Linked DNA regions of Tamandua tetradactyla. The protein of the gene in region 2 purifies or fractionates together with the protein of the main gene of each other region. This does not show direct contact. Links are inferred from orthologs where the notes say so. Each region holds a gene or a part of one and is shown on either strand. Other genes may lie near its edges.

Region 1 (7,747 bases), on a different chromosome or scaffold from region 2:
AGGGTGAAGACAGTGTGCCAATTTATTTCCTGATGTTATTTGAACTGTAATCATAAGATACAAGGGAGTTTCAGGGGCTCCTCCCAGGACTTCCTCTCTTATGATTTTGTGAATCTTTTTAGAAAGCAGATGGAAAAAGTCTAATGCTGTAGAAAGAGTCCACACTTTCTGGGGCTGTGGTGCAAGTCTGACACTATGTGGCCTCTTTGGTAAGGAGTGATGTGATGATAGTATATTAATAATAATATCAGCTAACATTTGTGTAGCACTTACTATGTACCTGGCATTGTTCCAAGTGCTGTACTTATGTGCAAGCATGCACAAACACGCACTTATTTAATACTTAAAATATTGCCAACATTTTACAAATGAGGAAATTAAAATTCTTTGGAGATGAAATAATTTGTCATACAGTTAACAAGCAGCAAAGCTAGATCTGAAGTCAGGCAGGCTGGACTCAAGTAGATTGAAATGCTAGTGATCAATGAAAGGGAGTGGTAAGGGGTATGGTATGTATGAACTTTTTTGTTTTCTTTTTATTTCTTTTTCCGAATTGATGCAAATGTCCAAGAAATGATCATGATGATGAATATACAACTATGTGATGATATTGTGAGTAAGAATGGAATGATCATATGGTAAGAATGTTTGTGTTTGTATGTTGGTATGCTTAATAAATAAAAATAAATAAATAAATAAAGTGACACACTGGGAAATGAATTAAGACTTCAGGAGTACAATTTAAATTCTCTCTCTGGGGCTCAGTCTCTACAATTAAAACATGGGAACCATACCCATACCACTTACCTTACAAGGAGACTGAAATAGAATAACATGTAACAGGGCTTTGAAAAAGCACAGAGCATTGGGTGGGCCATGATGGCTCAGCAGGCAGAGTTCTCGCCTGCCAGGAGGGAGACCTGGGTTCAATTCCCCGTGCCTGCCCATGCAAAAAAATTGCACAGAGCATTGATTCCACCTTCCCTACTACCAATTTTCCTACATCAATGAAGACCCAAATTCAAAGCAAAAGAACAAAATCCATTCCTCTGACCAGGAACTCCTCAGCTGGAATTCAAGACATGTGGGTTCTGTTTCTAATTAGCTGCATGACCATGAACAAAATATTCCTTTTGCAGGCTCTCCACAGGAATGGAGAGAGCACGTTTATCCTCTAGAGGCTCCAAATACCCTATAAACACCTCACACATCATTAGAAGCCAAGGGCCATCCATGCAATGTCTTACCAGTCCTTCTGTGACACATTCTGGTTGTAAATGTGCCCACTGATGTTTCTATAAGGTGGACAGATGCATTTGCACCGGATATCTTCAGAGCTCTAGAAGAGAAAACTCAGATTAGGTAGGCAGGACCCCTGGGTTCTGTTCTAGCAAGATTCCCAACTTTTGGCTCCTTGTTCTGTAAGGCGACCATGCTTGTATAACTTGATCTTTCTATATTCCCAAGTTCAGCAAGAAATGACTTCTGTTAGAAAGGATGCTCTATCACAGGGCCCTCAAGACAGAAACTGTCCAGTGGCAAATGGGATACACAGAAAGCTGTCCAGTATTACCATTCCTCAAGTGGGTGCGTGACGAGGGGAGAGGGTGGGAGAAGGGTGAAGCAGGAGGCACAACACGCAAACTGACAGCCTGGGTCCCACATCTGTAAGTACATCTCTGTCCAGCAGGCTCGAACACTAGACCCCCTCCCCCCAATGCATTCCATCTACAACTTCCTAGGTTAGAACTGGGGGAAGGAAAAGAGCAGGGGTAAGTGAGAGAAAGTGTATCATTTTCAAGAGAATATTCAAGCAACTCCTTTGAAAGTTCTTCCCCTCTGGAAAGGGTAAGAGAGATAGCACCACAGTATTCTAATAAGGAACATCCCCTGGGGAAGGTAAAAGCAAGTCAATCCTGAGAGTCACCCTTCTTCAAAGACTTGTGATCTTCAGAATCTCAAATTCCATGGACCCACCCAAACCCAACTCCAGCTCTCTTACCCCTAAAGAATTAACTCAGGGAGCTCAGCACTCAGACTGGTCACACTTACTAATAGAAAATTCCATCTGTATAGCCTATATACTTTCTTGTACATCAAAATGTAGCATTTTTACTTCATTATGTAATTTGATTCTTCCTAAGTAGAGCAGTAGATACTATAACCACCTTCATTGTACATAGGAGCAAAGAAGAACTGAAATAACTCCCCCAAACCCAAACTTCCTAGCTGGAATTCCACCTTGGGCCTGTCTCATGTGCACCATCCCTGCCACAAGTTTCTTTACCACACCTGCTAACCTTAGGGAAGTCTGCAGCCTTGCACCTGAGGGAACAGGGCGAAAAGCACGGCCCCAGAGGTGAATGAGAGGCAGGGCTTGAGAAACGGCTACCTGTGGGGTGGCCCCGCCAGCAGGGCGGTCGTGTTCTAGGAACTACCGGCTCACCTCCCTCACCTTGCTGGCTTGAGCTGAAGGAAACAGCAAACACCCGACCACCGCCGCCAAGGACAGGAGCTTCATGCTTATTCAGGCTCGCTATGACAGCAATACTGGTCACCTGGAAAGGAGATACGGAGTCGGGGAAGAGGTGGGCGTCCCACCACAGACCACCACACTAGGCCCCTAACCCTCTTGCCTGGACTTGGGAATAGGGGTGGGGACTGGGATCCGGGATTCCAGGGCCTCCAGAGACCCTTAGCCAAGTGCCGCCTTTCCCAAGTCTCCCGCTCTCCACTGCCCACCTGATGCGCCCTGTGGACGGGGTCTCACGGGGACAGGGCCGTCCGGGGCCTGAGCGCCTCCGCAAGGCCCACCTCTGACCCTCGCAGCGCGCCCCACAGCCCTCCGCCATCTCCACCCGCCCCGCAGCTCCTCCCCGCTCAGGGCCGACGGGAACTTTGGATGCAAAGCCTGGGAGCCCTCATCCCAGGGGTCTTGGGCCAGGCTGGACCCCTGAAATCCCGCAAGCCCCCGCACCTCTTCCCCAAACTGGGGTCCGTGAACCTCCGAGTCCAGCTCCAGCAACAGAGGATCCAGCTGGCCCCGCCCCCCTCCGGCTTCTATTGGCTGCTAGAGCAGCCTCTCGACCCCGCTATCGCCAAGGCGATAAGACCCACCCTCGCTGGGCGGGGAGGCTCGCGCAAGGGAGAGCGAGCAATTTCTCAAACCCGAGCAAACAAGAAAAGGGAACGTCAAACTTCCCAAGTGGAAACTGGGAAGGGTCTTGCATATATGACCTGCAAAATCCCTCTGCGGTGCTTCGCCCCTTCTTAAATTGTGAGGATCGAGTTTCAGAGAGAGGCTAAGCCTGCTCCGTCTGGCTGTGTTAAAGAGAAAGCACTTTATAAACCGTGAAATAGTATCAGCAACAGTAATGATAAAAACAGACACAAGGGCTCCGTCCTTATTCACAATCTGGAATTGTTATTCATAGACACACAAATACATACGCCTGAGGTGGAAGAAGAAAGCAGGAGTGGCTTGTTGGGTCCCATTAGCCTGATCCACCTGTTCCAAGCTGGTTCTGGGCCAGGCAAATTGGGGGAAGATATCCCAGGCTGCTGGGAGGCAGATGTGAACTTCCCGCCGACTGTGGAGGAAAGAGCACCTGGGTTTTGCCTGGCTCTGCCACTAAACAGCTGCTTTACCCTGGAAAAGACACCTCCCTTCTCTGGGCCTCTGTTTCCTTCCATGTAAAACAAGTTGACTGGACTAAGATTCCCTTTCAGCTTTGATATTCTGGGATTCCTGGGGGGTGGTTTAATTGGATCCAAATTTGAATTTGGGGGCCAGAAGCAGCACACAGGTCAGGTCCAGGTGGAATGCAGCCCCATCCAGATGTGCTGTAGTAGGTACTGCCTCTGAAGGTAGTGGAATTTGTATCTTATTCACCTTTATATCCTCTTCACTTGGCAGAGTCCCCTAAACTTGGTGGTTGCTCAGGAAATGTTTGCTGAACTGAACAGGGTAGAATTAAATTAAAACGAGGGTGATAGAGAGAGGGCAGGAGGACTAAGGAGTGACACAAAGCTCATGGGTTTTGGAACTAGAAGGATCAGGGTGAAGTCCAGGTTCCTCCCTTCCTGGTTGTGCGAATTTGGATGGTTGGGACTCAATTTCCACATCCATAAAATGGGGCGATATTACTTGGCTTACAGGTTGCTGTAACACCATGTTATTTGCAAGCTGCCAGAATGCAATACATCCAAAATGGAATGGCTTTCAAAAAGGGAATTCAATAAGTTGCAAATTTACAGTTCTAAGCCTACAAAAATGTCCAAACTAAGCCACCCAGGAAAGATACCTTAATTTAAGGAAGGCTAATGGGTCAGGAACACCTCTGTCAGCTGGGAAGTCGTATGGTTGGCATCTGCTGGTCCCTTGCACCTGTGCTCCATTGCTTTCAGCCTCTGTTCCTATGGGAGATCCTCACTTTACTTCTTCAGGGCTGGCTTTCATCTCTTGGCTTCCCTTGGCTTGCTCCAGGTTCTAGCTTGCTTGACATGTAATAGTGCCATCTGCTGGGCCCCAAGCATCTCCAAACATCTGTGTCTCTGTTCTCCAAGTATTGGCATCTGTGTCAGCTCTGGGCTTGAAGTTTCTGTCAGCTTTACTCTCTGTCGGCTCTCTCCAAAGTGTTTCCTCTTTCAAAAGATTCCAGTAAACTAATAAGACCCACCTGAAATGGGTGGATCACATCTCCATCTAGTCAAAAGGTTACACCCACAATTAGGTGGACCACATCTCTGTGGAGATACTCTAATCAAAAGTTTCTGCCCTATAGTATTGAATCAGGATTGAATCAGAATTGCTCCCACAAGATTGAGTCAGGATTAAAGCATGGCTTTTGTGGGGGCACATAATAGATTCAAACCAGCACACATATATGTGTCTGGATAAAGAGGGGGGCCCCATAAATGCAAAAGTCAGCTCATTCTAGAGGTCAGAATGACTGTTGGGGTGTTGAGAAATGATGCCTACAACATGGGAGCAGAAGTGACAGCTCATGCACCGGAAAACACCCTCCTGCCTTCCCATACACCTCCTCTGTAGAGGTGGGGGAACTTCCAAGGATGTGACTGGGTAATTACCTCCAATGGGTGGGCCTCTGACACCCAACACTAAATATACCCTTTAAAGATAAGGCCACCCAGGGTCCTCATGGCACTATCATCTAACATTTCTCAGATTGTGGCGTCAGATTATCTTTGATTGTTCTTTTCTCCTATCCCAACATCTAGTCTATCTGGATGTCTCCAAGAGGCAGCCATTGTCATGCTGCCTTCATCCTTCCAGAGCTCGCTCTCTGCTTCCTAAAATATACTCCCTTCCTATGTCCTCCTCCATCCTTCCTGTCTTCCTCCAAGCCTGTTTTCAGCACCTCTTCTGTCATTCAGTAGTCCATTTTAGCATCCTGTCATGTCAAATCCAGACCTCTCTGCCTGGCTGCATGATAACCCTCCCCACCCCATCTCATCTCTGGTTACTCTCTTCCAGCTGCCTCCCACATTTGACTTTGCACATACTAGCCCTCTATGGAAGGCCATCACTCCCTCAGCCCTGTTAATCCTTACCTTTCATCTCTTTCAAGCTTCTGCCCCAATCACTTCTATTCCAGAACCTTCCCAGGTAGTCCTACTTGACCCATGTACTTTGTTCCCACGTGTTCCCCACATGCCCTGTGTTTGAGAAGCCATTGAGATATGTCTGAATCTATTCATCCAAATCAACTCCAAAAACATGTGCCAAATGCTGTCTATGAGCCATACACCATGCTAGGTGACCCCAGGACTACAACAGACAAGCCACATGTGAACCCTGTTTTCAAGAAGTGCGTAGTCTACTACAGGAGAAATGATATGGTTGTAATATAATTTAATGTAAAAAGTGTTATGTCATAGAACGGTTCTTTTGTCCCCAAAATGTTTTTCAAGTAAACAAGATACAGCCTGTCTCTGCTCTCATGATACTTAAGGTTTATTTCAGGAAAATGACAAATCAATAAGCAATTACAGTTCAGGATTATAAGAACTGTATGAACTATGCCTGGAGAAGACCAGGGAGCTGTGGACACACCCTGCAAAAGCCTATGGGAGACGGAGACCAAGAGCTAGAAGAGTCTGAAATGGTAGAAAGGGAATTTTAGGGAATAGTTGGGGGCTATTTGAGATGGGCCAGTGTGGTAGGCAAAATAATGGCTCCCCAAAGATATCTGCTTCTTACTCCCCAGAACCTGTGAATATGTTGCCTTGCATGGGGTACTTTGCAGATGTGATTATGTTAACCTTGGGATGGAGAGATTATTCTGATTTATCTGGGTGGGTGCGGTTTGGGCCAACCGCTAAACTATCGGGGACCCTCTACTCCTCAGCTTCTCACTGCTTGCCAGACGACACTGCCGCACGCAGAAAAGGGGCTCGAGCCGGGGGTCTGGGTCCAAGGGGCGCGTGCAGGAGACCTCGCTGCGGGTCTAAAGGACTGGAGGCCGAGTCATTTAAGGCATGAAGCGAGGTAGCTTTATTGTTGGTAGATGCTTATGCCAGGGCCGCCAGAAGCTAAAGACCACGAGGCTTGACGAGCCCTGGATTATATACAGTTTGAGGAGAGGCGGAGTTAGGGCGTGGCCTCCAGGGGAGGGTAGCCAATCACACAGGGAGGACGGATGAGTGACTGTGACCATAGAGATGCTGTTCCTGAGTGTACTTGTAGCAGTGGATGTTGGGTAGGTGGAGGACTAAGGAGAAGACCAATAGGGTTAGAGAGACAAGGCTGCATCATCACTAGTCGCCGGCGAGGCCTGTAATTCAGAGGTCTAGAAGAACTGGACGTGCCAAAATGGCGAGGGAGGGAGAGAAAGAGACTAAGCCACCAGGCCAAGAATAAAATTATGCCACAGGTGGGCCCAATGTAACCTCACCAGTCCTTAAAAATGGAGAATCTTTTCTGGCTATAGTCAGATTCAATGACAGAAGCAGGGTTAGAGAGATGCTATGTTGCTAGCTTTGACAATGGAGAAAGGAGGCCATGAGCCTTAAGCAGTTACCCCCTGTATTAGTCTATTAAGCGGCTGGAATGCAGTACACCAGAAATAGAACAGCTTTTAAAAAGGGAATTTAATAAGTTACCAGTTTACAGTTCTAGTGAAGTGGAAGTGTCCAAATTAAGCCACCAACAAGAGGTTACCTTCACTCAAGAAAGGCTGATGCTATCCAGAACACCTCTGTCAGATGAATAAGCATGAATAATCCATGCTGTGCTAGTTTGAAACTGTTATGTACCCCCAGAAAAGCCATGTTCTTTATATGCACTCTTGTGGGGGCACACCTATTGTGGGTGGTTTGTTTCCATGGAGATGTGACCCTGCCCATTCAAGGTGGGTCTTAATCTACTTACTGTAGCTTTTTAAGAAAGAGACATTTCTTAGAAAGCACAGATGTTTGGAGGCAGAAAATGCCCCAGGACATGCTAAGCTAAAAGATGAAATCTAGCGTCTGCCCCAAAGAACCTAAGAGAGAACCCTGGAATCAGAAACTGAAAGCAATAAACCAGGAGCAAGGACGAGCAGGTGCCAGCCATGCCTTCCCAACTGACAAAGTGTTCTACATGCCAATGGCCTTTCTTCTGAGTCCAGGTATCATCTTGTTGATAACTCAAGTCAGATATTTTCATGGCCTAAGAACTATAAATTTGCAACCTAATAAATCCCCTTTGTAAAAGTCAATCCATTTATGGTATATTGTATTCTGG
Region 2 (7,261 bases):
CCCATTCACCAAATATAAACATTACAACATTAAACGTGCTTTTTCAATGCTTAAGCCCCATGAAAGTCTTTATCGGGAAGAGAAAGCTGGGGAGGTACTAAATTGCCCCCCCCACCTCTGAGATGCTTATGATAGACATTTACCAGAAACAAATGAAAAGCATATATACGAAAAAATATCTTCCATTTCCTCACATATAACCCCAAAAGTACATGCTTAAATGAAGAAAGTTCTTTAAAAAAATGCTCTGCACTAAACTTTCCTGCTACTTTTCCTCCCACCCCTCCACCCTCACTTTAAAATAATTTGAACTTCTAGCTAGCAACAGCTTCTTTTAAACTAATGTGCTTTGTCCTTGCCAAGACAAAGAGTTAAATTAAAGAAACAGCTGGCTGTCTGCCACTGGCTTGGGGGGGGGGCGGAAGGGGAGGTTAGGGGTGGAGGATAGAGAAGGAGGAAAAACCAGTTAGAGGAATACAAGTGCTAATTTTTCTTACCCTGCCACATGGCCATCTTGATCCTATATTCTCCCACACTGGGGTTGCAGGATCAGAGTTTCCAAGAGCACCCCAGTTTTGCAGGGAGACTTGAATGGGGTGTAGATGGAACCAGCTTCGTGGTTGCTGCTTTCTGGAAGATGCTAATGTCCCAAACCTGAAAGTCCAAAACTGAAAAATGAATACCTAAGTGAAAATATACACTTTAAAGTCTTGAAAAATTCTTCTGTTCCTCTCTGAATCTCTCTTTCAAAGATGCAGACATAGGCAGTGTTACATTACTCTTAAGTAGCAAAGAATTGCTGAAGACAGAATCAGGAGACCAAGAGTTAGTTAATTTTGCCACTCAGTGCTGTAAGATTCTACATGAATCACTGAATCTTCAGATCTCAAAGTGTGGCTGGTTGGAGGTGATAACCATTAAGTGTCTTTCCTATCTTGACGTTTCATGCTTTGGGGAATGAAGACTAGTATAATATTCATTTCCCTATTCAACCCGCAAAAGATCCAACTTTACATTAAACAATCAGTAGAAAAGGGAGAAATTTTTATGAGAACTTCAAGTTTTAAGATATATTTTGCATAGGAAAAAAATGAAAGGAAGCAGAATAAAGAATTAAGAGCGATGATTTTTAGCTAGTGGTTCCTTCTCCCTACTTCTTTACACTTTCCCATACTCGGCAAACTTCCTATAGTAAACATATATTGCTTTTATAGTCGGGGGGAAAATGAACCAAAGAAAGAGAAAAATGTAAAAACGAAATACCAATTTAAGAAAGGCAAATTAAGTCAGCTAATTCCTATTTTTAAAACTTCAAATCCAGTCTTAGGACAGTACTTTCTGCAAGAATATGAAAGGAGAAAAGTATAGGAGAAAAAGTGAGATGTTTGTACTTTACTGTGATTGAGACATTTAATATATTAAACACTTTGCTTGTCCATTTAAGCAAGTTCTTAATAAATTGGCCTTCCTTATTTAGCATACAAACTAATCTGCTTTTTTTTAAAAAAAAAAAAAGTCTCCACCTTTCAGAATTGGTGAACATTAAAGTAGGGGTGCTATTACTGTAATTTTTATACAGCTAATACCTCGGGCCCCGAAGTGACAGCGCTAAAGCACAAACACTTAAGACGAATACTAACTTGAGAATCATCATTTTGGCCTTCTTTCATGACTTTTTGTTTTTTAAGGACAAAGGATTTAATGTACAATACTCCCGAAAATACTGATAGACAAAGGACAATGCTTTGGTTAAGGAAAGTTTCGAGAAGTTCAGGAAAACTAGGAACTCATCTAAATCCCAGGATGATTTCGCCATGAAAAAGCACTCGGATGACTTATCTGCAATCTGGGACAGTTTGTTTGGTTTGCCTTTTTTTTTTTTTTTTAATCTTATTCTGCATGCAGTTAAGAAGTACTGATTGTACTTGTTGCACAAGGCGAAATTTAACATCTCTGCAGTTAAACCAGGGTAGCTGTTAATAAATTGATGAAGTTTATGTAAAGCGGATTCTTACTGGCTTTTTATGCTCCGAACATCTGGATTTCCCTCACTTACTCCGGGAAGCTTACAGTGACGTTATGACACAGGCGCACACATACACACACACACACACACACACACACATCACAACTTCACTTGGAACTACAGGAAACCGATTTGTTCTGAACTATTAATAAAGATACATGCGCGTCAATGTAAAGGTAAAGCTTTTCCCTTAAGGGTATAGGAGCTCAAGCGCAAACCTCGAAAAGTTTGGAGAAGATCCATCTAACGCGCGTCAACTGGGAAAAGAAAAACGCACAGCAACTACTTTTCCTAAGTTTGGACGTGATTTTGCTAAAAACCCACACAGACCTGCGAGTCCAGAGTAGGAGAGCGAAGAACAGGGCCTCGCCCTCTTCCAGAAAAAGCCACCCGGCCCCAGTCCTGGAAAGGGAACACATGCGACTAACCTCTCACATTCAAAACCCGGGCGTGCTTGGCGCCGCTCGCGAGGAAACTTCGCGCAGGCAACTCAGGGACCCTAGTTCGGAGGACAGGGTTGGGCTGCCGGGAAGATGCCGCCCCGCACTGGCTAGAACTAGCCTGTCTAACTCCTCCAAGTGCCAGGCAGCGGCGGCCGGGCACGGGGATCTCTGTCTCGGAGGAGCCGAGCCAGCAGGGGAGCGCTTCCCCTGTTGCTGCTCTCCGGGGGTGTCCAAGGGGATGGGCCGGGGGCCAGCGGCGCCGCGAAGAACCTGTTGGGGAAAGGACAGCCCATCTGTCTTTACCTGTCGCGGAGGTCTGGAGCGACTGGGTTGGTGTCCGCCGCTGGCGGACCGAGCGCTCAGTCCGCTCGGGCGTGCTGGACACCAAGTTGAGCTAGCGCCCCACGTAGCCCGCAGAGCTTCATTCACAGAACCCAGCCAGGGAGGAGGGGGAGCGGAGAGGGCGCGCGGCTCATGTGACAGGCGCCTCACAAGTCTCGGCTGAGCACGGCCGCCGTCTGCGCGTGCGCGACACAGCCAGCCATCACCCAGCACCTCCGCCAAGTTGGGGGGCGGGGGTGGATGCGGGGGAGGAGGAGGCCGGACGGAGAGAGCAGCTGGGAGGGGTTTCTGCGTGCGCAACCGCAGTAGTCGGCCCTGTTCGCTGCCATATTTAATGTGGATTTGGCGACTCTAACCCAGTGGTGGGCGTGTCAATTGTGTTTGAAAAAGAAATGCTGTATCCCGTTTCGCTGTTTGGAGCCTGCAGTGCCTTCTTTGGTTTTGTTATTAAAAATAAAGCTGTTTATCATGAGCTGCTCGCCCACAGAGTAGTTAGTAGTAGAAATATAGTACTAACAACATTAAGTCGTATATTTTGAGCTTCATGTGCTAGGCACTGCTTTAAGCCCTTAATTTTTTTATGTTTACAATAACCCCATGGGGTACGTACCATTATTTCTCCATTTTTATTCATAAGAAAGTAGAGGCATAGAAAGGTTAAGTAACTGGTCTGAAATAACATAATAGTAGCAACAGGAATAGTGATAAAATAGAGTAATGCTTGTTAATAGCCAATTTGATCCTCAAACAGCAAAACTGCAGGGTACGTACTGCAGTTATCAGTACTAGATCCGTTTTAATAATTACAAAACAGGCTCCGCAAAGGGAAGGGTCGTCGGACTAGTAAATGGGTGAACGGGAACTCCAACCTATATCTAACTCCAAAGCCCTTGCCCTAGGCACAGAAAAACAGCACCTAATTTTACAGAAGAAACAGTTCACGCCAAACGGAGTGCATTGACTTGCTTAAAATGAATCAGTTTATTAGTTATTGGCAGGAGTGAAACTGGAATACATATAATCAATTCAGGTAATCTAACTAGAGCCCAAGTATTCTAGTTTAAGAGTCTATTGCAGCAAACATTTTTGAGTACCTACTTTGCACGTGGTAAGTGCAAAGGAATAAAAAATATTTATCCTAAGCCCTATCAATTTAAGGCCTGCAGGAATAAATCTTGTAGTCCTGCAAAGTCAGGCTTCTTTTTTCTTTTTCCAGGATTTCTATTTATTCACGTAGATATATAATTATCATCATAATTGACAGACACTTTTTAGTTCTTAGATTTTAAGGGAAAAAACTGTACAGAAAGTACCGCAAAATTATGTCCCTAGGTAATTAGTGTCCTCAGTATCAGACTGGTAAAGAAGTTGGAAAGGGCCACTGCTCAGCAACCTTGTAACTCAAGAGCATAGAATACAATCAAAATCGGGCTTCCTGATTCATTGCAGTGATGGAGACAGTACACCAAAGAAAGCATGGGAGCGTTGCCAAAAAAGAAAAAGATAGATTTGGTGAAAGAATGGAGTTTAGGTGAATTTTAAATGAAGCAGTGTTTTAGTAAAAGCAAAGCAGGCCTGTGTTTAAAGGGGTCAACATCCGGTCTGGACTGTGAAGTGAACTCAGAATCCTGTTTCCTTGGGAACCAAGAAGTAAAGATAGATGTGGAATGTTGTGTCCAGATAGCCCTATCTGAAGCTCTACACCTAGGTTGGAGACCGAGGCTGCTTTTCTATGTCAAAGAGACTTATGTTCTCCAGACCAGCATGGGATGTTTTATGCTGACTGATATAATTTCAAACAGCACAGTTGCTGATAATCTACAATGTTAGAGAGCAAAGTTTTTCAGTGATTAAAAAAGCAGGAGTCACTCAAATAAAGGAGTTATGATTTTACAGCTGCAGCATGTCTTTGGGAGAAATATTGTTCCCTGTTAAATGTGCAGCTGGCTTTATCTGCCTGGTATTCTACCCTGATGAATGGCCAAGCGAATTTTACATTCTCATTCCAAGCTAATTTTTACCTTCTCAACTGGTAGAATCTTGTCCCTTCTCTCAGGCACTCATAATGTGTATATAGGATGGAGGTGGAAGGGTAGCCACAAATAACCAGAAAGGAGACAGGGTCAATTTAACAAAAAGTGAAACAACCCAATTAAAAATAAGCAAAGGATTTCAATAGACATTTCTCTGAAGAAAATATATAAATGGCTAATAAGCACATGAAAAGATGTTCAACATCATTGGTCATTAGGGAAATGTAAATAAAAGACATAATGAAATACCATTTCACATCCACTAGATGGTTATTATTTTAAAAAAAGAAAATAACAAGTGTTGACAAGGATGTGAAGAAATAAAAACCCTTATACATTGTTGGTGACATTGTAAAATGGTGCAGCCACTGTGAGAATCAGTTTGGTGGTTCCTCAGAGAGTTGAAAATAGAATTTACCATATTACCTGGCAATCCCACTTCTTGGTATATACCCAAAAGAACTGAAAGCAGGGATTTGAACAAATATTTGGACAATAATGTCACAGCAGCATTATTCACAATAGTCAAAAGGTAGAAGCAATTGAAGTGCCTGTCAACAGATGAATGGATGAATAAAGTGGATGTATACACACAATGAATATTATTCAGCATTAAAAAGGAATGAATTTCTGATGCATGCTACAACATGGATGAACCTTGAAGACGTCACACTGAGTGAAATAAGCCAGACACAAAAGGACAAATATTGTATGATCCTACTTTTATGAAATACCTAAAAGAAGCAAAGTTCATAGAATTAAATAGTAAATTGCAGGTAACTAGGTGTCAGGGAGTGGGGGCAAGATTTATTGCTTAATGGATGCAGAGTTTCTGTTTGAAGTGATGAAAAAGTTAGGGCAATGAATACTGGTGATGGTAGCACAATATTGTGAATGAAATTAATCTACTGAGTTATATACTTGAAAGTGGTTAAAGAGGGAAATTTTGAGTTGTATATATGCTACTACAATAAAAACATTTTTTAAAAATATGAGCTACCACCTTACATCCACCAGAATGATTATTACTTAAAAAAAAAAACAGAAAATTGAATGTGTTGGCAAGTATGTGAGGAAATAAGAACTCTTGTACATTGTTGCTGGAAATGTAAAATGGTGCAGCTGTTTGGAAAATAGTTTGGTTGTTCCTCAGAAAGTTGAACATAGAATTAAATAACATGACCTGGCAATCCCACATCTAGGTATACACCCCAAAGAATTGAAAGCAGACAAACAGATATTAATACACCCTGTTCATAATGCATGATTCACAATAGCAAAAGGTGGAAGCAACTGAAGTATCTATCAACACATGGATGGAGTAACAAAATGTGGAATGTAAGCACAATGGAGTAGTACTCAGCCATAAAGAGGTATGAAGTTCTGATGTGTACCACTACATGGATGAACTTTGAAGACATCAAAAATACCTTTCACAGTCTTTGCAAATTGGCTCCCCGCTGGCCAATGCTTTCCTGCTGAGTTTAGCCCTCCTATCAAGAAGATCAATCCGAGGCAAATGTGAACTGCAGAGTCCTCTCCGTGGTTTCTGAGCCTGCATCTTGTCCTGGACTTGTGCTTGCTCATGACCTCAGGAATGCCCCCTTTTATAGGAATTAGAATTCCCCCTCTACTCCCTATGAAATAGCCTTTCTCACCCTCCATATTGCATAACTTAAAGTAAGTAATCCTTTGCCCAGGTCACTTTGACTTAATTGTTTCTTACACTGCTTTAGGTGTCTGCAAACACACTGCTTCTGCCTGCAAGACAAGTTCTGGGAGAGTAGACCAGAGAGGAGTTTTCTGGTTTAGTCTTTGAAGCTGCCACCTGATAGAGTGGAACCTACATACCAGGCAATTATATGCACCTAACAACAGAGAACAAAATATATGAAGCAAATATTGACTGTTTTGCAGGGAGTGATAAGTGGTTCTACATTAATAGTATGAGACTTCAATACACCACTTTCAATAATGGATAGAACATTTAGACAGAACACCAGTAAGGACATTGAAGACCTGAACAGTAATAACCAAATAGACCTAACAGACATATATAGAACACTTCACAGAACAGGAGCAGAATATATATTCTTCTTTAGTACACAAGGATCATTCTCCAGGATAGACCATATGTTCAGTCACAAAGCAAGTCTTCATAAATTCAAAGATTTTGAAAACATGCAATGTAGCTACACTGATCACAATGGAATGAAGCAAGAAATCGATTAACAGAGGGAAAGCTGGAAAATTCAAAAATGTGTGGAAATTAAATAATGCACTCTTAACCAATTAGTAAAAGAAAAAAATCACAAGGGAAATGACATATCTTGAGGTGAATCAAAAGGAAAACACAACATACAAAACCTTTAGGGATACAGCAAAAACAATACTGAGAAGGAAAATTATAGCTCTAA

What was found. The genes of interacting proteins can lie anywhere in the genome.
Region 1: the proteins of CLCN5 (region 2) and TMEM9 purify together in Homo sapiens (co-immunoprecipitation; 3 studies listed by BioGRID and IntAct, with this or other methods). This does not show direct contact. The link is inferred for Tamandua tetradactyla from reciprocal best matches to the Homo sapiens genes CLCN5 and TMEM9.

The regions. Positions count from the first base shown.
Region 1 is NC_135330.1:58,231,589-58,239,335, forward strand, and holds the start of TMEM9 (proton-transporting V-type ATPase complex assembly regulator TMEM9), read right to left. Parts: upstream 3,087-7,747; 5' UTR 2,978-3,086; intron 2,559-2,977; 5' UTR 2,522-2,558; coding exon 2,447-2,521; intron 1,340-2,446; coding exon 1,248-1,339; intron 1-1,247. UniProt on the Homo sapiens protein: Transmembrane protein that binds to and facilitates the assembly of lysosomal proton-transporting V-type ATPase (v-ATPase), resulting in enhanced lysosomal acidification and trafficking.
Region 2 is NC_135353.1:120,412,334-120,419,594, forward strand, and holds the start of CLCN5 (H(+)/Cl(-) exchange transporter 5), read right to left. Parts: upstream 3,014-7,261; 5' UTR 2,773-3,013; intron 655-2,772; 5' UTR 514-654; coding exon 498-513; intron 1-497. UniProt on the Homo sapiens protein: Proton-coupled chloride transporter. Functions as antiport system and exchanges chloride ions against protons. Important for normal acidification of the endosome lumen. May play an important role in renal tubular function.